Arabidopsis thaliana: one gene and its partners. The protein of the gene in region 3 interacts with the protein of the main gene of each other region in a pairwise test. Each region holds a gene or a part of one and is shown on either strand. Other genes may lie near its edges.

Region 1 (6,385 bases), on a different chromosome or scaffold from region 3:
TCTCGAATACACTTTTGGAATAGATAACAAATCTGATGCAAGAGCTTGTTTCAGGTAAAAAAAAAGATTAGAAGACTCAGATAGATTTATAGATGGATTTGACTCGTTTTCAACCCAACTTTGGTTTTAAGTTCTTTTTTAAAGTGTCGATTCTTATAAAGAGCAAAAGATTGTCGTACAAGGCAAATACTTACACTCAAAAGGGTTGAGAGTTTGACTGACTCCTTGGAGATGGAGACACCGTACGTAACATTTCATCTTTTAAAGGAGGGGTTAGGCTGGTTTAGTGTAGGGTGGGTTCAATGTTTCGATTAATTGATTGTTTTAATATAGTTTTCATGTGTACTAATGGGCTAACTTATAACTGGTTATCTTATTGGCTTCCCTATTTTCAATTTTAATAGATTACACCACATGTAAGTTGGTGGTATTAAAACATCACCGTTTGTAAATATTGATGGCAAAAGACGAGCCAAAACAAAACTTTTATAGTAGTAGCTATTATCTACATAGACGACCAACCAATAAGCAGCTCTACATAGTTTTACTATTAGTATTTACTAACCATTGCAAATTCAAAAAAAAAAGAAGGAGAAGATGAAGTTCGCATTAAGGACTCTAGGGGGCTCAATACATGTGGGCTTTTAATTTCATAGTTAATGCCTTCTTCAAATAAGGTATAGGTCCATTATGAGTTATTAGCCCGTAACTTTTCCTAAACAACTATCTAAATTCTTGCTATTGCTAAAGTAATATTTTATCACCGAATAACACTTTTTAAAGCTGTAAGATTAATTTATCAAATGTATGTCACGTGTGAACTGTTTTGTTTTACAATGCTAGATTTACTCTATAAAGTATTGTTAAAACTTAAAACTAAGAAAGCATGTTCATTGTTCCTTGTTTAAGTGTTAAGCTCTCTTCTTTGCACCAACCTTTTTCCTTTTCTTCTTCATGTAATGATTGAAATTCCGTAAGGACGGAGCAAGTTTGATGGCGCACGAGAGATCTTTTTCAGAAGTGAAAAGTGAAAACCCCTGGCGCATGTTAGTAGGGTCCTTTTGATAGAAAAGAAAAAGAGAAGATAGAGAAAAGAGACCCATGCTCAAAAGTATTATCATGCGCCATTTTAAATGGTCCTAAGTCCCATCTCTAACCGATTCTCATCTATCTATCTTTTTCTCACCTTTTTCATATTATATGATTTTTATTCTTTCATTTTCTTTGTAGATTTCTTATCCATATTTTAATAGTTTCGTTATACCATTTCTGTAATTTACTTCAAAATGAAAAATGTGTATAGAGGCAGAATATTAGTTCGAGTACAACATTTAAAAACATACAGATTTTCCTCTATTCTTCACGACTTAGATTTAGCTATTAAAGCAAAAGGGTAACCAATCAATGCAAAGTGCAAACTCATTATTAAAGGAAAATCAACATCCAAATAGTATCACATGGACATATGAATATTCAATGTCATAAACGATTATATTGGAAAGAAAGAAAAAATGAAAACGATAAGAGAGAGGGAGAGATCTCTCACAGATCAGTCCAAATGAGTTTAATCACATAATTATCAAACTTCCGAGCACTTCGAAACTAATGATTGACATTATGATTTCCTACTTAACTTTATTATTCTAAAACTTTAGTATATTAGTCCAAGTTGAACTCTTCAGCAAATATATCTTATATAATTAATTGTTCTCATATTGTTTAATATAACGTTAGTATAAACAAAGACTACATCAACTTCGCATTCGCACTATAGAAACAGGATACTATTTGTATATATCAACTAAACTTTTGTGATATTTTCTCTCATCTACTAAGATATACTAGTATAACTTTTTTCCTAAGGGGGTATATGAAGATAAGATAATTACTTTTTCTTCTTCTTAGCTACATGGGTCGAAACTGGTCTTGGAATGTTGAGTAACCAGAATCTCAGAAGCAGCCCATAATTTGGTAGCTTCGCTGGAGTTGGTTCCGAGTCCAGACGGTGTCGTTTCATTACAATCCGTAAAATACTTTCCCGATACGTTCACCAGTCTTGGATTTGTTGCCACGTAACACGTCGTTGCTGCTGCCTAATCCCATGCCAAAACAAAAAAAAAGTAGCACATAAATCCAATAATCTTAAACAGGATTAAAAACAAAAAGAATAACTTATCCACCACAGATTATGTTACAAACTTTATAACTAACGAAAATAACAATTATTTACTTGAGGGACGGTCTTAACGAGCTTGGAAGCCAGGAAGAAGACGAGATCTGAGTAGGTAAAGACAAAAGGAAGTCATATAGATATAATTTGGAATCTTAATCATGATCATATAATTCATGATAAAATAATATGACAAGGTAATGAGGAAAAAAAAAAATAAACCAACCTGTCAATAGACCTTCTCGGTCTCTTGTTAACCGGGTTCTAACAACTCCTGGGTGTACGCAATTTACCGTAACATTCGCTCCAATTTTCTGCAATTTTGTTTTCTTTTACAATTAGATTCTATTTTTATATACTAAACTTTAATCACTTTATGCTAATGACCCACATGATTGTCCTAAATCCTAACTATGGTCAATAGTCAAAAATAAACTTTGTAGTGTGTGACTTAACTAACACTTTCATATATTTGGTTAGAATACAAATCTCCTAGTTATCTAGGTTTCTTGTTGTCCCCTTCCCATACCTTTCACTCTTTTCTTTTACACTAAGAAAAATCAATAAATTTGACCATTATGACACACATTAATTTCTACCATAATGCTTCAGAGTTTTTTTTGGGAATAATTAACTTTTGGGGGAATAATTAAATGGATGCAAGTAAATAAGAGAGATAGGTGTGGGAGAGAAAGAGACCTGGAGTCTAGAAGAGAGCTCCTTGGTATGCAAAACGTTGGCAAGCTTCGAGAGAGCATACGCACGTGTCGCATCGAATTGACTAATCGATCAAAACCAAAAAGAAAGATTTATTACATTTTCCAAAGGTCAAAAGTCAAAACCTTTTTACTTCTCTTTTCCCATTTATTACCCTCCTATCGAGTTACTGTCACTCATCAATCAAAACATTAACAACTACGCAGCTTTTTGCTTTGGTAAAAAGTAAATTCCTCGACAAGTTTTTATTCACCTCTCAAGAACACCAATCCTACTCTCTCATTTATAGTTCTAGGCTTCTAGCTATTAGGTTGATATAAGGATTGTAGATGGTACATTATTTACACTTCTGCTTTGGAGTTTTGATGTATAGATAACAATTAAGTATGGAATGAAACATTTATACCTCATGACTCAACCAGAACATAACACAAACTTACCACTTGGGTTGTGAAATGAGTCGGAGATATTCGATCAAGTCGCCGGAGAACCATCCGTGAATACCGGACGTAACGTTAACGATACGTCCTTGAACTCCTGTTTCCTCTGCCGTTTGAATCATCTTGTTTAGCAAAAGATTGGTCAAGAGAAAATGGCCTGATCATTGTGAATGGATTAAAAAATTAAGAAGGCTATTAACAATAAAGTAATACTAGTATATAGGGTAATTAAGATCTGTCATAGACTAAGGGAATCGTATAATTAGGAAAATACTACTATACCTAGATAATTAGTAGCAAATGTCATCTCGATCCCGTCTTCAGATATTGCATGTTCATGTGCTAACTTGCCTGCGTTGTTTCTGATTCCACAATTGCATAAATAATAAAATAATCACATAACATAACAATAATGTTTAAAACAAATTAATCCGAATTAAGAACTTAGATTAACACGTAGTTATGTAAATATACATGCATATGATTCTTAGGAAAAAAAGAAGATTAAAGACTTACATGAGAAGGTTAAGAGGAAGATCAAGAGACTCGAAATCGGCGACGAAGTTTCGTACGGAGGCGATAGAACTAAGATCAAGCTTCATAACGACGATCTCTGTCTCCGGAAACTCAGAAACGATTCTCTCTTTTGCTTCCTCCGCTGCTTTCACATTCCTCGCCGGAAAAATCAACCTCGCTCCTCGTTTCGCCAGAACTCTCGCCGTCTCCGCTCCGATCCCCGACGTCGCACCTATCACCAAATCAACTAGTTAGAATCTCCTGACGACTCGACTCACCGGAAAACACGAAGCAGAGAGGAAAAGAACTCACCGGTGATAACCGCTGTGATGGAACGAAGGTCGCAGTTCTCGGTAACTTCCTCGGCGGTGGATTTAGAGCCGAAACCGCTAGCACCGGCGGCGCCGAGAAGGTATTTACCAGTCTCGATCATCGGAGTGATTCTGTTACCGGCGACTGTTATGGGAGTGAAGAGTCTTTCTCTTTCCGAATTAATATGAAAAAAATTAAAGCCACAAAAAAGAAACAGAAGGAGAAGGAAGAAAACAAATAACAAGGAACGTAATTGCCGTTTTCAGTTAGAAGGGCATAATGGTAAATGTCTATATTATTATCAGAAAAACTGTGTTTCGATTGTCAGGTTTTTGTAGGCAACGCCGCCTGGCGAGAGAGAAGAAATAGTAATGTGTTATTTATAGTCAACTTTTTAATTGATGAGGTAAAAAGAGAGAAAAGTAGATACAACTTTTTTATCAATACGATCGGTGAATTTTTTTAAAATTAAATTTATCATATTCTTCTTGTACTCTCTTCTTGTTTTAAATCATTTCGTAGTGGTAGGTCTAGTTGTTGTATACAGTATAATATTTTTATTATGATATTATTGTCAACAATATTCATTCTTGTTTAAAACCTACTAGAGAGGTTAGCAAAAGATGCTGCATTACGATGAAACATAAAATACTAGGGAAACAATGTATACAGAAAAAAAAACACAAGTTTGTCTTAAAGAATTTTAGATTTAATCTTTACAAAGAATACATGTGTTAAATATAGACTGATTTTTTCCTTATTTTTGGACAAAGTTAAGCTGATTTTGGAATGGTAAACTCAATTTCAAAACAAGTTATCCAAAAATAACTAAATATTTATCCAGTGTTAATTTCTTTGACAAGATTTTGTTTGGATTTTTTCACTTTTGATATATAAAGGCAATATAAATAATAATTAAACAAATATTGGAAAAAATCTAAACTATTCAACATATCGATGGTGTAGAGGGAAAGAAATCATCAACTTTTGGTATGGATTGATTTTGGTATATCTATATTTAGAGAGCTATCATGTGCCTTTTGGTAATTATCACTTAAATGACTTATTGGATTGATGAATAATTTATGAAGCTATTTTGGTCAAACCTAATTGATTACTATTGAGTATTCAAACTAACTAACAGCTGTCAGTCTCTGGTTGGAGCTTAAAGTGAGATTATTTTATATTTTATGATTGATTTTTTACTAACGTACCCAATACTGAGCTTATTAACGTTTAGTTTTGTACAGTGGAAACAGATCAAAACACGGAAAAGATTATCGTCAAATGCAAGATATTAACGGTCAAAAGGGCTAAGGTTTGACTACTTGTAGGGGACAATTATACAATCGTGACGTATTAGTTGTATACTTAGTGTCACTCATTATCTCATTATTCTTTCCTCATTTACTAATCCTAATTTTTTTTAAATACTTGTATTTCCTATATCAATCTCGGAATAAGCGCGGTCTTGGGACTACCGTAGACAATATAAAGTAAGTACATGGAGACAACGAGTAGTTAGAGCAGTAAACGTGAAAACGGCAGGAGAGGCAATGTGGTATGTGGATGAATAAGGAAGTAATTAGTCTCGTAGAAACGTTAAAGAAGAATCTTGTGAGAAGGTTTACGCACGTGAGGTTTACTCACCGCGTGCTGGATCGCTTCTCCTCTCCCTTGGAACACGGTCATAGACAAAAAAATATATTTAATTTGTTTACTAATTAGTTTGGTTATTATTTGCTAATGATCAATTATTTTTCAATAATTCAGTCTCCGTAACATCCAATACCGTTTTTAAGTCATATTGTTATAAGTTTTTGTAAGGATTCAGCCAATGATTATATATGCTTGAAATTTTGTTGAACATATAAAGCTCACATGCATCTCTCACGGATGAACATATTTACTATACAAAAAAATCAAATCAAATATCAATAAGAGAAGGACAGAGAGTTTTACAAGTATGAAATTGATAAAAATAATAAAAATAAAATTCTGTTAAATTGTAGAAGGAGAACGAAATTAATATATTCAGTTTATCACATATTCACATGTCGTTTATATCCCCAAATTCACACAAAAAATCTCATTCTTTACAAACTTTGAACACATTCAAAAACCATGATGCTTATGTGAAGCTTTCTTTATCTCTCTTGTTTGGCACATCTGAGAGCTTCATGTGTGTTCCCTTTCATACAAACGACAATAGATGATTGGGGATGCAAAG
Region 2 (5,170 bases), on a different chromosome or scaffold from region 3:
TGTGCTCAATCGGGAAATCTGGTAGTTGGAAGATGGGTTCATGTGTATGCATTGAAGAAGGAAATGATGATGGGGGAGGAAGCAAGTTATGATGATGTGATGGTGGGAACGGCATTGGTTGATATGTATGCTAAATGCGGAAACATAGATTCTTCCATGAACGTCTTCAGATTGATGCGTAAGAGGAATGTGGTGACATGGAATGCTTTGTTCAGCGGGTTAGCAATGCACGGGAAAGGTAGAATGGTGATTGACATGTTCCCACAGATGATAAGAGAGGTGAAGCCAGATGACTTAACCTTCACTGCTGTCTTAAGTGCTTGCAGCCACTCGGGGATAGTAGATGAAGGGTGGCGATGTTTCCACAGCCTCCGGTTCTATGGTTTGGAACCTAAGGTTGACCATTATGCATGTATGGTAGATCTTTTGGGCCGAGCTGGTCTTATTGAAGAAGCAGAGATCTTGATGAGGGAAATGCCAGTGCCTCCGAATGAAGTTGTCCTCGGTTCGCTTCTAGGCTCGTGCAGTGTCCATGGAAAGGTGGAGATAGCCGAACGAATTAAAAGAGAGCTTATTCAGATGAGTCCAGGCAACACAGAGTATCAAATACTTATGTCCAACATGTATGTTGCAGAAGGAAGGAGTGACATTGCTGATGGGTTAAGGGGAAGTCTGAGAAAGCGAGGCATCAGAAAAATACCTGGTTTGAGTTCCATTTATGTTAATGACTCAGTACATCGGTTTAGTTCAGGAGATAGATCACATCCGAGAACGAAAGAGATCTACTTGAAGTTGAATGAAGTGATTGAACGGATAAGATCAGCTGGCTACGTCCCTGATGTCTCTGGCCTGGTTTCACATTCGGAGGGTGACTTGGAGGAAAAAGAGCAAGCTTTGTGCTGTCACAGCGAGAAATTGGCTGTCTGTTTCGGGCTTCTGGAAACAAAACCGAGTACACCTCTTCTTGTCTTCAAGAATCTGAGGATATGTCGAGATTGTCATTCGGCTATGAAGATTGTTTCAAAGGTCTATGACCGAGAAATCATCATCAGAGACAGAAATAGATTTCATCAGTTCAAGGGAGGTTCTTGTTCTTGTTCCGATTATTGGTGAACAGATATGAGAATGACAAATTTGCAAAATGAGACAAGGTTGAGACAATGGAGGAAAATTTCATTGAAAATCTATAAACGACTGTACTACAATTCAAATGCATACAGAAGTTGTGTCCTGCAAAAGGTGAAGAAGTAAAGTAAAATGTGTTAATTTTATGAAAAGTTAGGGTGAAATCAAGAAGCAAATTCTCAAAATCTTGATCAAAAAGAGCATCATTCTCTTCTGATCAGTGGGAAGGTCCAGTATCTTCCTTCTCTGAATCATCTTTGTTCCCAGAGTTTGGAGAGTTTTCAGCTGTTACCGTCTCATCATCCTCGTTCTGAAGAAGCGATGAGAATGATAAAGGGTTGTACGTCGAGCTAGCCTTTTGTAACCCTCTTATAGCTCTCATTGCAGCGAGTGTACTCTTATATATATCAAGATTTTCATTGCCGAGAGTTGAGGAAGTCTCAGCTGAGATTCTTGGGGAGTTGTGCTGATGTGAGCTTGAGTGTGCTTGCACTGCGCTAGAAGACTCTACAACTTCCGCTTCTGAAGGAAAAAGAAGCTCAAGATTGGCCTCACATTCACGGACTAACCTAGTAAGTGGCTCTGTAGTAAAGAAGGGTTGATGGAGAACAAGCTGTGTGAAAGGCAAACGTAAAAGTCCACCTGTTCTTTTATCGTACTTCTTCAAAATCTTGACAAGTCCTAGAATGGAAGATGTTTTTAGCATACAGTAGTAATGTGTTACAAAAATTGGTTTTCTAGTTAAAATATATGATTACCTGCAAAATTAAGGGAGCTGTAGTTTTTCAGGAGCACCATCTCGCCATGAATGGTAACAAGGTCTCTCCGAATATCCATCATTTCTTCGCTGAACTCACTTTCTGATGCAAATTCCCCATTCTTTTCTTTAACTTGCTCGATTCTTTCCTTGAGCTCCTGTTTGCAAAATGATGAACACACACTAATCAATTAGAGCTTCATATGTCTATAAACAAGCAGAGCAAGAAGATGACCAAGGCTCATAAACCATACTAATATCTAAGCAATGTGATCTCGATTGTGATATACCACAGAGCAAATAAACCACTGTATCATTACATCAATACAGACAAACTCACTTGAAGCACAGAGAAACTAGATCCAATTTGATTAGAGATCATCACTAGAACTACCTCCGGTTTCAACTACTAGCAATTTTGTTCTAGGATTCGAGATTAATCATCCAATCGAAGATAACCTATGGAATGATTCAATTCTAGAAACTTGTTTAGCTTCTGAATCAGTAATCACATGAACCAAGTTCTAACTTGACCTAAAATCCTGAAGCTAGAATAAATTCGGAAGCAAAAACCTGTAATCTGATAACGAAATCTTCTTCCTTATCAACGTAAAAATCGTTAAACTTCTCAAGTTCATCGTTAAGTATCCTCACAAACGAACCCTGGAGATCTTCCGATGGCCTGACGCCGGGAACCACACCGCCGTCGTCGGCGGCGGAAGAGATGTTAGTAGTATCAGCAAATACTGGACGCGAATCGTTGTGATCGGAATTGGCGGGTCCAAAATCGGCGGAGTAATAAGGATAATATTTGAGAAGCTTTTTTAAAGGTTTATAGCAAAGGAACTTGTCTCTCCACTCTGGTAAAGTTTCTTCGAGGTGAGTACGAAACTCTTTGCCGAATTTCATGTAGAAAAGGCTCTGTGTTGGATCTAAATGGAGAAGACGGAGATTGCGACGGTGCAGAGCTCGTGGATAAGAACGAACGCGAGAGAGAGAGAGAAAAGCGCGAGAGCAAGGAATCTTACAGAGAGAGAGAGATAGAATCTGATGAAGTGGACGTGGATGCTTCTGATTAAATATTGACCATTGATCTTCTTCGTTTTTTTTCTTCATTAACTTGTTAATTTGGATATTTATCGATCAAGAAATTCGGAACAAATATGCATTGGTGGTTAAGTACTAATTGAAATAATGTGGTAAAATTGTTACTTGAAGTAATTATGTAAATGTAGTGAATAATTTGCGGATGTAATTATGTGGAATAATGTTTTGTTTCAATAATAAAATATTAAGATGCTCCAATAGAAAAAGGTTAGATTAAAAGTTAGCTGGACGACATAAATTGGCACAAGCGAATCAATTATCATTAAAATTCATCTAAACAAAGTGATTCTGTTCGTTTTTCTTCGGCATTTGATTATGTTAATTTTAAAAAAATCAGCAAGTTGTGATTATATGCATATACAATATGTCCATGAAGTTCCATGAAATAACATCACAGAATTATAATAGCTTTATCTAAAGTGGCTCTTAACCAGATCGTCAACCTGAGATGAGCCTCTGACGAGCTTGAACGGGCATGCACCTATAATAAAATAGAAAGAACCAAAAAAACTATTGAATAATATTCGTTATATTCCAATAGATTAGATTCGTCTTCCCATATAATGAGATTCCCTTATATTTTACGTATAACTATAAGCGGATCCAGAATTAAATCCACTTATATTCATAGACTATATCACTTTAAACAGTACTTATCACTAAAAACTATACAATTAAATGTTGATGTTATAGTCACGACTCTAAATTCTTATTGGCTAAAGTGTGTGACCAGGGTTTGTTTTTATATATTTAAACATATTTATTCATGCCTCCAACATTTAGGCATCTGTAGTTTCGTTTTTAATAGTAGGAAGAAGAAAAAAGAAGGGAATGAAAAGGTGAGGAACGACTTTAACTACTGCTTTAGCTCAAACGGGACGTTGACAACTTCTTCATATGGTACTATCAAGAGCCTGAATAATGTCAGCCTTTAAGTGCTCAAAGTCTTCAACACAAAAAGTCCAAAACTGAAGCCGAAATCGACGCGCTCATTGTGCGAATGGTAAGAAACTTGAATTTCGCAGTTCGACGACAACCACGCGTGTTACGTTTGGGCTGACTTTTATATTGCCCATTGGGCTACAATAAGCTCAGTTTTTTTCATATTATCCATAGACCCACATAATTCAAAAACGTAGGTCGACAAATGAATATGTCGCCACTGAAGTAATGGTAATTTACACATTGGTAGTTGTTTGAACTTTTAAGCCGTGGTGGAAAGTGTAAGAGAGATCCCGAAATCAAATTCAAACTACATGATTGCTTGGATTGAATCAGACAACAAACCAGAAACGACAATAGCAATTTTTCTTTGATTAACTCAGATACACAAGAAGTTGGAACATGCTTTTTAGGACCAATTTTTTTCTCCCTTTCTTAGATTGTGTCCAATGGGACCAAGTAGAGTAATATAAGGACTCTTGCAAAACGAAGTATATAACGCAAAACCGGGACACTGAGGTCCTTAGTGTTATAGATAATCTGGTTAAGAGGTGAGGTGTATGTGAATGTGAACGGTGTTATTGGATGACAACAAATGGAAAGATGTTCTTGACTCGGGTTTTAAGCCAATGGCAATTATGGCTCCAAAAAGGTCTTAAAACCGTATAATATGCTTTTCAAAAACACATTTGTTCCTTCTTATGCTAAAGGATGAATCATGAAAGAAGAAATCAAACTAACCGGGGAGACATCACCCCCAGCTTTTGGCATCTTATTGTAAAGAAAGAAGAGTGGTTTAATGATGAGCGGTGGCTTCAACCTTCTTCTGTGACATCGATTTGATCTGCAGGTGAAAAAGCAATTTGTTGGTACTTATCTTAGCATATACTACTAATATTCAAGAACATTTCAGGTATAGAGACATCTAAGTTATAAAACATTTCCGGTTTGCAAAGAGATAATCAGTGGAGGAACCAGGATGAGCAAACAACAAGATTGAACAATGTAAACCTTTTTAGAGTTTGCAACATGATGAATGAACCAGAGATTTTGCTCAAGGCATCACATCACTGGCTCAGCTACTCAAAGAGAACAGAGGAGACTAACAACCAAAAACATTTAAAAGCTAGTAACTTCAGAAGCAAAAACCAGAGAAAGACACCACAAAGTGGTGTTTCAACAAAGTCGTTTAAAAATTGCTGACGACTTGTAGAAAAGTAGCATATGATAATCTAAAAG
Region 3 (5,165 bases):
CCATCTATCAAAATACTAAATCAAATCTTTCAGTTGTGACGAATAGACATTGAACTGATCTTTTAATTTCTACAAGATTTTGAAAATCCGTATTAAGTTCATGCTTTTCAGATTTGCGATGTTACATTTACCTTCTGTATGCTGAATCATTTAGTTATCTATTCAGAGTCTTAACCAAGCTTAGCATTTTCAATATCAACATTGGCAGGATGGAGATTACTTTGGATCAGGTGACGATTTTGGTGGAAACACAGCAAGAGCAGATTCTCCAAGTTCAAGAAGCTTTGGCGCCCAGAGAAAGAGCCAATTTGCATTTGATGATTCAGTCCCCAGCACTCCACTCTCAAGATTCGGGAACTCTCCACCTCGGTTCAGCGATGCATCAGCTAGAGATAATAACTTTGATAGCTTCTCCAGGTTCGACTCCTTCAACACCAGTGAAGCAGGCGCCGGGTTTTCTTCGCAGCCCGAGAGACTGTCTCGGTTTGATTCCATCAACAGCTCCAAAGACTTTGGTGGAGCTGCCTTCTCTAGGTTCGATTCAATTAACAGTTCCAGAGACGTCACTGGAGCTGAGAAATTTTCGAGGTTTGATTCCATCAACAGTAGCAAAGACTTTGGTGGTCCCTCGCTATCAAGATTCGACTCTATGAATAGTACAAAGGATTTCAGTGGTAGCCATGGATACTCGTTTGATGATGCAGACCCGTTTGGTTCCACAGGTCCCTTTAAAGTCTCTTCGGATGAAAGCCCTACGAAAAGGTCAGATAACTGGAACTCCTTCTAGCCTCGGTTACTATCGTTCCCTTTTATAATCCTTTTTCCTCGCTTGATGAACTTGTGCTTGTTTCATAATTATAATTTTTTCACCAAATTCTGGTTTTGGATGAGACACTAGCGTTAGTCTATTTGTAATTTGTAAAGTTTGTCTCTGTATTGGTTTCCTACTGTATCTCTGTTATGTTATGAATTCATTTGCTTTATATGAAAGAAATATTTGAGGATTTCGTCGTGGATAAGAGATTAAAGGACAATGAAATGATTTTATTTTTCTCCATTTTTACTGTTTCTCTTCTCCAAAATGTTTTATTATTTTGATATATCCTTAGCTCGAGGTCTTGTAAGAACTTCTGGTAACATTTAACCAAATCAAAACAGATACACTTGAAGGTGGTAGCTACAAAATTGAAAATCGAGCTAATGCATTGGTACATTCTAACCCTCTGACTCGAAGAAGATATGATTTTCGCAGCATCAAACTGCTATGATCAATGTAACATCAGTCTTTGAGGTTGGCTCCATTCTGTTTCCGTTGAATCCACTGAGCACATTTCAGGATCAGTTGTTACCAAGGAACTTCACTTCTCTGTGATCCGCTCAAAGGCAGATATCATCGATGCACGCATGTTGGCTATTTCCACCAGAGTTTCAAGAGCTGTCCAAAGACGAGAGAAAAAAGAGTTTCAGTTGTAAACTGGAATCTTCCTTTGAGTATACTTGTGGTGATGAGGATGTTACCTGTTTCAAATGATTGTTGAGCGCCACGCAGCTTAGGAGAGACTAGACCTCCAAATACTGACAGAGATTTTGCCCGTTCTTTCTTTATCTGGAGCTCAACACATTCGAATTAGTAAAACCATCGTCCTACATTTTGAAAACAAGTAGAGTTTCTGCAGACGGTTAAATGATTGCTCACCTCTTCATCAGCTGCTAAAACGGTTTCATCCTTGGCTGATGGTTTCTCTTCTATCGAATTACATAAAGCAAGAGATGATGAAACACCGACAAACAAAGGGCAGAGAATAACCAACAGATGAGTCTTTTTTTACCAGAAACTCCTCGATGTCGTAGCTGTGGGCTGAGAGGTGAGCCTATCTCCGAATCTGTATCAGTAGAGAAGTCTTTGCCTTTCCTGCTACCGCCCTTGGAAGCCCACTTGGACAAAGCAAAATGAGGTACTGATCCCAAAGATTCAACTACAAGAGTCCATAGACATACACTGTATATAAGTTGCTTCCCCGCAAAAAAAACATAAATTCATAGCATATAAACGTAAACCATTGAACTATCAAACGCCCAAAGCATAAGCCAAACTTACCATCTTGGTCAGTCACTTGCAATGTTGAAGAAGCGGGATGATACTTAAGATCTAAGAGAGTGCTGTTGATGCGTAAAGTTCCCATAGAATGTCGAGCACTAGCTAGATCAAACCATCCCTGCAAAAATAACACATTTCAGTTCCATACCAAATAAGTTAATTAAGGCAGCAGACTCTCACTCTCATCATATCAGTGATATGAATCCACAAAAAAGTTTCTCCTCATGGCTACTATAGCTAGATAATCAACGAAAACGTTTCCCACGCAATCCTTTTTAATCCCAGATTCAATTCAATTCAACACAGAATATCTCAAGTCATCTATACATCAGAACATAAGAATCATTCCCATAAGATCCCATTTTAGCTCAATACACCAAATATCATTCCAATTACCTCTCGAAGCTTAGAATTCACAGAATCCATAAGCGTTAAATATCCATCCAACGAATCTAGAAACTGCAAAACATTCTCATCTCCTCCCCCTTTTCCCAGCTCAGTTTTCACTTCTGATTCTTTATTCACATCCACTGATTCATCTCCTTCCTCGTAAATCTCCGCCATCGAAATTTAGCTCCAACACACGCGAATCAACAAATCGAAGCTTACACGAGGAAGACAACGTAAAGCGATCGAAACAGAGACAGATCAATTTCTCGAGTAAACGAGGCTATTTTCGTAATATTTCAATTAGTAAAGGCCCAATAGCCCAAGTAGAAGACAACGTAAAGCGATCGAAACAAAGACGGATCAAACGAGGCTATTTTCGTAATATCCAATTAATAAAGGCCCATTAATACCAATAGCCCAAGTCGAAAGATTACCTCTTTCGGGTCAAACCGGTTATGTTTATGGGTGGGTGGGTAGAGCAAGTCGAGTGTGTGTGAACACAGCGCCAGGCTGTTTGTCTCAGTTTGTCAAGTTGGCGTTTGGTGGCTCCACGTCTCTCTCTATCTCTCTCTCTCACATGACTTTTCGATTTTAGTCAACCTTTCGTGCTTTTCTCTTAAAAATTCGATTTTTTCTTCAACCCATCTTCTTCTCTGTTATTTCCTCTCGCTTTTACCTGTCTCTCTCGTTCTCGCACGGGGATAGAATCAACTCTGCTCGAGATTTTAGTAGGAGGCAAGCTCGATTGCTTGCAATTAGATCCATGGATGAAGAAGAACTCACACTTTCTCGCGCGTTTTTAGCTCAAGGAGATTTTTGAAGAAGTGGTCGTTTTCGAATTGTCAACTTCAGAAGAAGAATCAACTTTGGTTTTTTCTTTTCCCTTCTCTGTATAGCTTTGAGGAGGCGCTTCTTCAACTGGAACAGGCTGGTGTGCTTTTTTTTTTATCTCTTTTGGTATTTTTGAAATGCTTCATGAGACGTTGTTTCTCTTCTTTATCTTTTTGACGAATATTGCTAAATTTGGTAATCTTGCTATATAAGGGTTCATGGGAGTGATGATTTTGGGACACTGTTACTTTTCGTATTTTAGGTTATAGTTATGATTGAAAGTTTGAATTTTGTTTCCTTGGCTGTGAAAGAATCCGGGAACCAAACTGTGGTACTATCCCTTTTTGTGTTTCCAAAACTTTCTCATTCATTTACTATCAAATTTCGACACTTTCTTACCAGACTCTCTTGCATTGATGTATCCAAGTGGGTTTTCATCTAGGATCCTATGTTTCATAACAATGAGGTATTTGCTTGTACATTTGCAGTGAGTTTGAAGGATTAAGATGGTTGGAAGCTCGGATGGTGACCAGTCAGATGATAGCTCTCATTTTGAGCGAGGAGTAGATCATATCTATGAAGCATTCATCTGCCCATTGACAAAGGAGGTTATGCATGATCCTGTCACTTTAGAGAATGGTCGAACATTCGAGCGTGAAGCCATTGAGAAATGGTTCAAGGAGTGTCGGGACAGTGGGAGACCTCCTTCTTGCCCTTTGACATCTCAGGAGCTGACTAGCACTGATGTAAGCGCCAGCATAGCTCTGCGTAACACTATCGAAGAGTGGAGATCCAGGAATGATGCTGCCAAGCTTGACATTGCTCGTCAGTCACTGTTTTTAGGGAATGCTGAGACAGATATTTTGCAAGCTTTGATGCATGTGCGACAGATTTGCAGGACCATCCGATCAAATAGGCATGGTGTACGCAACTCTCAGCTTATCCATATGATCATCGACATGTTAAAAAGTACTAGCCATAGAGTGCGGTATAAGGCTCTACAAACTCTGCAAGTTGTCGTTGAAGGAGATGATGAGAGCAAGGTTGAATCTGATTTCTTTTCATCTCTGCTGAATATTTAGTGTAGCATTTTAATGGGAAATTGAGCGGGTGCTAATTAAATTTTCAGCATCTTGCAGGCGATAGTAGCTGAAGGGGACACTGTGCGTACACTAGTTAAGTTCTTATCACATGAGCCATCAAAGGGGAGGGAGGCAGCTGTTTCCTTGCTGTTTGAGCTCTCTAAATCAGAAGCTTTGTGCGAGAAGATTGGTTCCATTCATGGAGCACTAATATTATTGGTTGGTCTGACAAGCAGCAACTCAGAAAATGTTTCAATTGTTGAGAAAGCTGATAGAACCTTGGAAAATATGGAGAGGTCAGAGGAAATTGTTAGGCAGATGGCTTCATATGGTAGACTCCAGCCTCTTCTAGGCAAACTCCTTGAAGGTGAAAGAATTTCTTTTCTTTGTTTGGTTTTAATATAACAATTACGCTCTCTACTTCATTTGCATAAAACAAGTTATCATCTTCCTTCAGTTGGTAAAATTCTTCCTTCAGTTGTTCGGATGCATCACAGTGTTATGGTATTCTGCCTTAGAATTTGTTTGCTCTAGGAATTTTACATGTTCGCTTGTAAGAAGAGTCAATTTTCTTCTACCCAGATGGTCAAATCTTTCATTATTTTCCTCTGTTATATGGCAAATTTCTTGTATGAATAATGACACCACATGTGAAATCTGCAGGTTCACCTGAAACAAAACTCTCTATGGCTTCCTTTCTCGGGGAGCTTCCCTTAAATAACGATGTGAAGGTTCTTGTGGCTCAGACTGTGGGTTCTTCTCTT
Region 4 (6,074 bases), on a different chromosome or scaffold from region 3:
AGGAGCAAGAGCAGGAGGAGGAGAAGAAGAAGATTGTCTAACATTATCCACAACAGGAGGATTAGAGATAACACCATTTTGTCCCTCAGCCAATTTTTGCTTCGACTTCTGAAAACACATCAACATGTCAATATATACAGACTATAACATTAAGTCACATCAATATACAAAAAAAAAAACTTCACCTTTGAATCTGGGCTGAATGCTTTCTTAACACTTGAAAACCATTTAGCTTTTTTCCCCATCTCTATGTAATCCTTCACAGAGAAGAAACAAATTATTCCACAAGGAAACTGAATCTACTGATCTCAGTAGCTAAATTACGACAGATCTCGAAATCTAGAGCTAAAATTCACCAATTGATACTGAATCAGGGAGAGAATGAATCGTACCTATGAGAAGACAGTGACACCAGATCTGATAGACGAAAAAGCTTGAAGATAAAACCTGGAGGAGTCAACTAAACCACAACGCGGCTTCTAAGTAGTGACCTTATCGGAGAAGACGAAAAAGCTTAAGAATCGAATCGATTGGATCTTTGCTGAGGTGCGAAGATAACTTTTCTTCTTCGAATTGCTTTCACATTATCATAATTGCAAATGGAGAAGAGAGAGAGAGGAGAAGACAGATGGATTCAAAGCTGTGTGAAGAAGAGTATTTGTGACGGTGTGTGTTTGTGCGTGATGCCACTTAATTGGGCCTCTTTTGTGGGCCCCATTCTACTCTTCTTTTTTTCCTTTTCTTCTTCTTAATTTACCAACTTCGTCTCTCTTTTACTCTATTCTTTTCACTTTTTTTTTTTAGTGATGAGTTTTATTTCTTAAGTTTCATAAACACTGTTTTGTTAATTTTTCTTTTTATAGTATAGTATCTTTAGATTTATTATTATTTGGTGCATTTCAAAAATAGTATACATAGTTGACATGGTATATTGGTGTTTTCTCTAAAAATGTTTGAAATTTTCTTAAAATATGGATAACGTGTAAACTGGAAAATGTATTGGATTTTGTACCTTTTTTGAAACTAGATAATTTAATGAACAAGTTATGAGGATCGATAAAACAGTGACCATATAAATTTTAAATTAATTTATAACTTTATCCGGTAAGATTGGTCTTTAATTTCACCTAATAAAACAAAATTGTTGCAATAAAAAGTTTTTATTCGTCTTTAATTTTTGTCTTTAGGCGGGTTAAAATATAACACTATATTTTTGCCGTTAAATATCTGTTATTAATCGAATTAAGATTTAAGATCGTATTTTTTGTCGTCAAATACCAATTGTTTATCGAATTAATTCATCTGCATAATCCGTATAAAGTATGTGTGTTTTAATACACGCTTACATTACTACAACCGACAAAACATGTGAACAAAATATGTCCACCAGTGAGACAGCCTTTATCATTTTAAAATATACTCGTTAACAAGCCACCATATACGATACTTAATACTTTCTGGATTTGATAAATCATGAAAATTAGTTGGTCATTGTACTTGTACACCATATCATATTTTATGTTCAGATCCACCCACACTACTAAGTTAATCTCCGATGGATGAACAAAGAAAATATTTGACTCATAATACCTAGTGACACAAACCATAAATAATGCTTTGGAAAAACTCGTTTTATGCAACAGCTATTAGCAGACTGTATTTTGCTCTATGATCGTGTATATCCACCACAAAAGCAATTTCCCAAATTATATGGATTGACATACAGTGAACTAGAACGATGATTGAAAGAGTATATAATTTTTGTCCACTGGATTAAGTATTATCTGCCTGAAATCATTGACTTTTTTCGGAGATAAACCCAAAAGGTTCCTTATCGGTGGCCAGCTTGTACCAGTCTTCCTGTAATTTTTGTGGTTAAGAAAAAAAAAAAAAAAAAAAAAAAGCATATATATGTCCAATCACTCCATGTGGCGTCTTCTCTGTTTCGTTAGTATAACATCCCTAAAATTATTTTCATATAAAATAAGTGAGAACTAGCCGTTGGAATTTGATAATTTATTTTAGCTAATCATATGTCCAACATATCAAAGTCCTATGTATAACTGTTTATATAAAGATATGCCTCTGATAACTTATAATATTAATAGGTATCTGTATATCCAAAGTCGGTAGTTGAATTGGGGATATGGACATTCCACCTAATGTATAATTCAAACTTTGTCGTTGCCAATAAAATAAAAAATAATTATAAGCTATTATGAAAATTTCTCTCCCCGTCGGTCAACTTTGAGTTGGTCTTTGCATTCTAGCAAGTGAAATTTATAAGTTAATTAAACCGGGGGAAAAAAAAGATAACTAAACCAAAATTGAACCGAAAAATCCATTTGGCATTATCTGAAATGTAAGTGGGGCATGGAAATAAGGTCAGGGCCGTTAGCGTTTTAAAGATATTTAGATGAGCCAGTGAGTTTGGTAACGACCCGACATTTAAGTCTTGTCGTTTTGTAACAGAGCAACGGTAGAAGATTCCTATATTGGCTAACACCTAAACCTGAACCCATGATAACGCCATACCTTTTTCTTCCCAGTGAATTTAATTGAATTAACAGTTTACAACTTCATATATAGATTAGTCCATGTCCATCTATATCACCTCAGAGAATTTAATTTCACCACTATTCAACTTTTGTTACTACTTCAGTTCATCTATTTTTTCAGTTAAACATACACATTTAAAATAATATTTATAGTTATAAGAAAACAATTTTATAATAATATTTTTTAAAAGATAGGGTTACGTTCAGCATGAGAGTTTTTGGGAGATTGAGTTGAAACAAGAACTGAGAAAAACATTTAAGAATTGCAAAAGAGAATGAAGAGTTACTGGTTTTTGATCGAACTAGAGATATGAGTCATTTTCTATATTCACTCCAAAATCTAATAAAGAAGCAAACACAATTCTGGTTTTAATTAGCTGAGAAAGGTTCATGATAAGCTATTTCTATGTTTCCTTCAAAACATCATAAAGTTTTTGAAACTGAAGAAATCTAAATTCTCAAACCAACCATATGTTGATCTAAAGTTATATATATGACTTCTTACACCACTGGACGACAGAAGATAATCTATTCTTAGTAATGGCTGATAGTACTTCTTGATAGGGTTTTAGACTGTTTACCTCATTGCTCAATGCTAGGATTCTGAATCAGATAGCGAGCGTTGTGTAAGAGGGAAGTAGTCTCCTCGTTTGATGCATCAAGCAAACGCAACTCCTTGATCTCGTCCTGCCATTTCTCAACATGTTCCTTGTGTATCCTGTTTCATAAATGTGAACAGTGTTACACATGTGAGTGTATAAACATCTCAATCATGGTACATACAGAAACATTATAGAATCTCTTCAAACTCACATGATCAAGCGTTCTTCGAATTCGTTACTGAGTTCCTTGAGCATTGTTTTCCCTGTTTCCAGCAAGTTAGAAACCTACCACAAGAAGCATCAATCAATATCAGATTCTTCCTAAACTTAAGCAATCAGGGAAATGATAAGAGCAGCTTACAGTTTGTGTGAAGCTCTCAATCTTATCGAGAATTTGCGCAATGCTAAGTTCCATCTCATCAGAAGCAACAAGTTTCGTCTCAGCTTCTTCATTCTCAATGGTATGATCAAGGCTAATTCCATCTCTCGAATCTCCTTTTCCCTCTTCATCCTAACAAATTTCACAGGACAAAATCAAAAATCTGATCCACCACAAAATCATCATCACCAGATCAACGACAAATTCAAAAAAAACTTACAGATGCTCTCATGCGTTTCCGAAATCCTCCATTCCCTGCGTCTTCTTCCATTTCAGTGTTCATCAAAACTGCAGTAATTTAAAACGATGCTCATGAACGCATAAACAGATTAAGAATTAAGTTTTCTACTCGATGCGATTGAATCCACTAGCTAAAGCATCGCAGCAGATTCCGATTTCAAAATCTAAAAACCGTACGATTACATCCCCAACAATCTAGCTTAGGATTCTACAATAGAACGGAAGAAACTAGATCGAGATCGACGAAAAAACCTCCGAAAGAGATTAACAGAGAACTTACGCGATGAAGATCGAAGAAATTGCTCAGTACGAATTGGAGAGAAGAAGATGAAGAAGTTTTAGAGAGAGTCCAGTGAGTGTAGAGAATGAGGAAGAAAAGCCAATTTGTTTATTCCGAGAATCCATTTAAATAAGCGTTTAGATTTAAGACTTATTTTATTTTATTGTCTCTGTTTCATAATCATCACTAATTAAGTAATTATGCTTATACAATGCTATTGGCGTTTTAAGTATGGAGGAGTGACTCAAGAATCAAAGCGATTTAGATGCGATTTGATATTAAGCCGAGTAATCCAAACATTTTACAAAAAACATACAGCCAAAATATTCACCTAATCAGATACTAATCGTTTTTTTTATCTATCTCGTCCAAAAAATGTTACAACCTCCGGGACAAAACAAAAAACAATAAACCGGAGGATCGATAAGATATACCTTAAACTAGCTTAACTTAAGAGTGAGCAACTTCTTCTGGCTCAGTGATCACTGCATCGAGAAAGGTTCAAGACTTGTTATAAATATCCCGGGACCTTTTAAAGGGAAGCTCAACGAATACATGTTCAACTGATGATGATGATGATGATGACGACGATGATGACAATAGACGATTTACTTTTGATGAGCTTGGTCCAGCTGATTGTTGTTCTTGTTTTACATCAACAGAATTTTCAGAGATTATGTTACTCTCTCTTGGATGAGGATTATCATTTTCAGCATCACTCTCGTCAAGGATCACAATCGTATCTGCACACAACAGAAAATATTCAAATAAATTTTCTTACAAGAGAGGTTCACCAACATATCAAGAACATACATACATACCTGTTGGAGTGTTATTCACATTATGATCATCCACCATAATAACCTCATTCTTGATAGTCACATTATAATCCTCCACCACAATAACCTCATTTTCGAAAGCCACATCGCTACTCCCTAGACCGGCGAGATTCTCAGCATCAAAAAGCGATTTCAAGAATGAACATTGTGATTCAGCCGCATCAAATCTCTCTTTCAATTCAGCATACTTGTTCTCCATCTTCTTCAGCTTCTCCACTTCTTCCTCTTTCGCAATCAAAAGCTCCTGATTCTTAACACTCAAATCATTGATAATGGCCTCTTTCTCACTGATCATTCCCTTCATCTCCTTCATATACTCCTCTTTCTCACTTCTCTCTTTCTCTAAATCCTTAAGCAAGCTTAGAATTTTCTCCTCGAGTTCCTTAATTTGCTTCTGATATTGAAACTTCATTATCTCGTTCATTTCATTCATCTGCTTAAAACTTTCCTCTATACTTTTGTAATCTTTTTCCAGATTCTCATAATTCTCCTTGAGAATTTCATGTTTTGTCGCCAAAATCTCCTCCTGAACAACCAAATTTCTTCTTGTCGGAGTAGCCACCGACGAGATTTTGTTCTTCCCCGATTTGTTTGAACGAGCTGATGATTTTCCAGTCATGACGTCGAAACCCTAACCCTGGATATCAACACAAACAGCGGTCAAGCTTTTACTAGAGCTTCTTTATCTTTGCCAAATTTACAAAATTTCACAGATTTCTAAAGAAACCCTAAAACTCAAATTCGTTCTAAGCTCCACCGGAAGAAGAACGGGGAAACTAACACTAGCGGATCTTTAAACCAAAATGTACAACGGAAGAAGAAGAAGAATCTTACCCAGAAAATCTTTTGAATCTTCTTCTTCTTCAAACGACCAGAAGAGAGAAAGAGCTAGCTACTGGAAAATGAAAGTAGCTACAGAGAAGGGAAAAAGCAAATCCCTAGAAACAGAGAAAATGAAGCGGGAATACGAAAGGACAACATATTCATGATCAAGTTAATAATTGAATCTTTGTTTAGTGTTAAATTGAACTTAATCCAAATTTTTGTTCTCTTCCCATTCATGTCCTCAAACAAGTAAAATCATTTACTTTAGTTTAGCTTAGATTAAAAAGATAATTCGATATTCAAATAAAATACCACCGTATCTAAAAATCATAATTACATTGACAGTGTATC

What was found.
Region 1: the proteins of AT1G20770 (region 3) and AT4G24050 interact in a two-hybrid assay, tested with the Arabidopsis thaliana proteins (one large-scale study listed by BioGRID).
Region 2: the proteins of AT1G20770 (region 3) and SPX4 interact in a two-hybrid assay, tested with the Arabidopsis thaliana proteins (one large-scale study listed by BioGRID).
Region 4: the proteins of AT1G20770 (region 3) and AT5G03050 interact in a two-hybrid assay, tested with the Arabidopsis thaliana proteins (one large-scale study listed by BioGRID).

Annotation. Positions count from the first base shown.
Region 1 is NC_003075.7:12,495,178-12,501,562, reverse strand, and holds AT4G24050 (NAD(P)-binding Rossmann-fold superfamily protein), read right to left. Parts: upstream 4,509-6,385; 5' UTR 4,277-4,508; coding exon 4,156-4,276; intron 4,076-4,155; coding exon 3,844-4,075; intron 3,690-3,843; coding exon 3,610-3,689; intron 3,485-3,609; coding exon 3,328-3,484; intron 2,952-3,327; coding exon 2,870-2,951; intron 2,485-2,869; coding exon 2,397-2,484; intron 2,278-2,396; coding exon 2,231-2,277; coding exon of another isoform or gene 2,207-2,230; exon of another isoform or gene 2,094-2,206; coding exon 1,902-2,093; 3' UTR 1,237-1,901; downstream 1-1,236.
Region 2 is NC_003076.8:4,978,216-4,983,385, reverse strand, and holds SPX4 (SPX domain-containing protein 4), read right to left. Parts: upstream 3,013-5,170; 5' UTR 2,999-3,012; coding exon 2,456-2,998; intron 2,041-2,455; coding exon 1,884-2,040; intron 1,807-1,883; coding exon 1,343-1,806; 3' UTR 1,155-1,342; downstream 1-1,154. Other genes in the region: AT5G15340 (Pentatricopeptide repeat (PPR) superfamily protein), read left to right, coding at 1-1,113; AT5G15320 (ATP synthase E chain), read right to left, coding at 4,728-4,775.
Region 3 is NC_003070.9:7,213,987-7,219,151, forward strand, and holds AT1G20770 (coiled-coil protein), read right to left. Parts: upstream 2,912-5,165; 5' UTR 2,663-2,911; coding exon 2,495-2,662; intron 2,217-2,494; coding exon 2,099-2,216; intron 1,977-2,098; coding exon 1,830-1,976; coding exon of another isoform or gene 1,747-1,829; coding exon 1,697-1,746; intron 1,607-1,696; coding exon 1,519-1,606; intron 1,436-1,518; coding exon 1,359-1,435; 3' UTR 1,029-1,358; downstream 1-1,028. Other genes in the region: AT1G20760 (Calcium-binding EF hand family protein), read left to right, coding at 209-787; SAUL1 (senescence-associated E3 ubiquitin ligase 1), read left to right, coding at 3,826-4,362, 4,459-4,768, 5,065-5,165.
Region 4 is NC_003076.8:712,162-718,235, forward strand, and holds AT5G03050 (knotted 1-binding protein), read right to left. Parts: upstream 4,187-6,074; 5' UTR 4,060-4,186; intron 3,828-4,059; 5' UTR 3,823-3,827; coding exon 3,760-3,822; intron 3,672-3,759; coding exon 3,522-3,671; intron 3,446-3,521; coding exon 3,372-3,445; intron 3,277-3,371; coding exon 3,141-3,276; 3' UTR 3,140-3,140; exon of another isoform or gene 1,882-3,139; intron 1,861-1,881; 3' UTR 1,066-1,860; downstream 1-1,065. Other genes in the region: iqd2 (IQ-domain 2), read right to left, coding at 1-108, 186-245; AT5G03060 (striatin-like protein), read right to left, coding at 4,561-4,802, 4,881-5,517.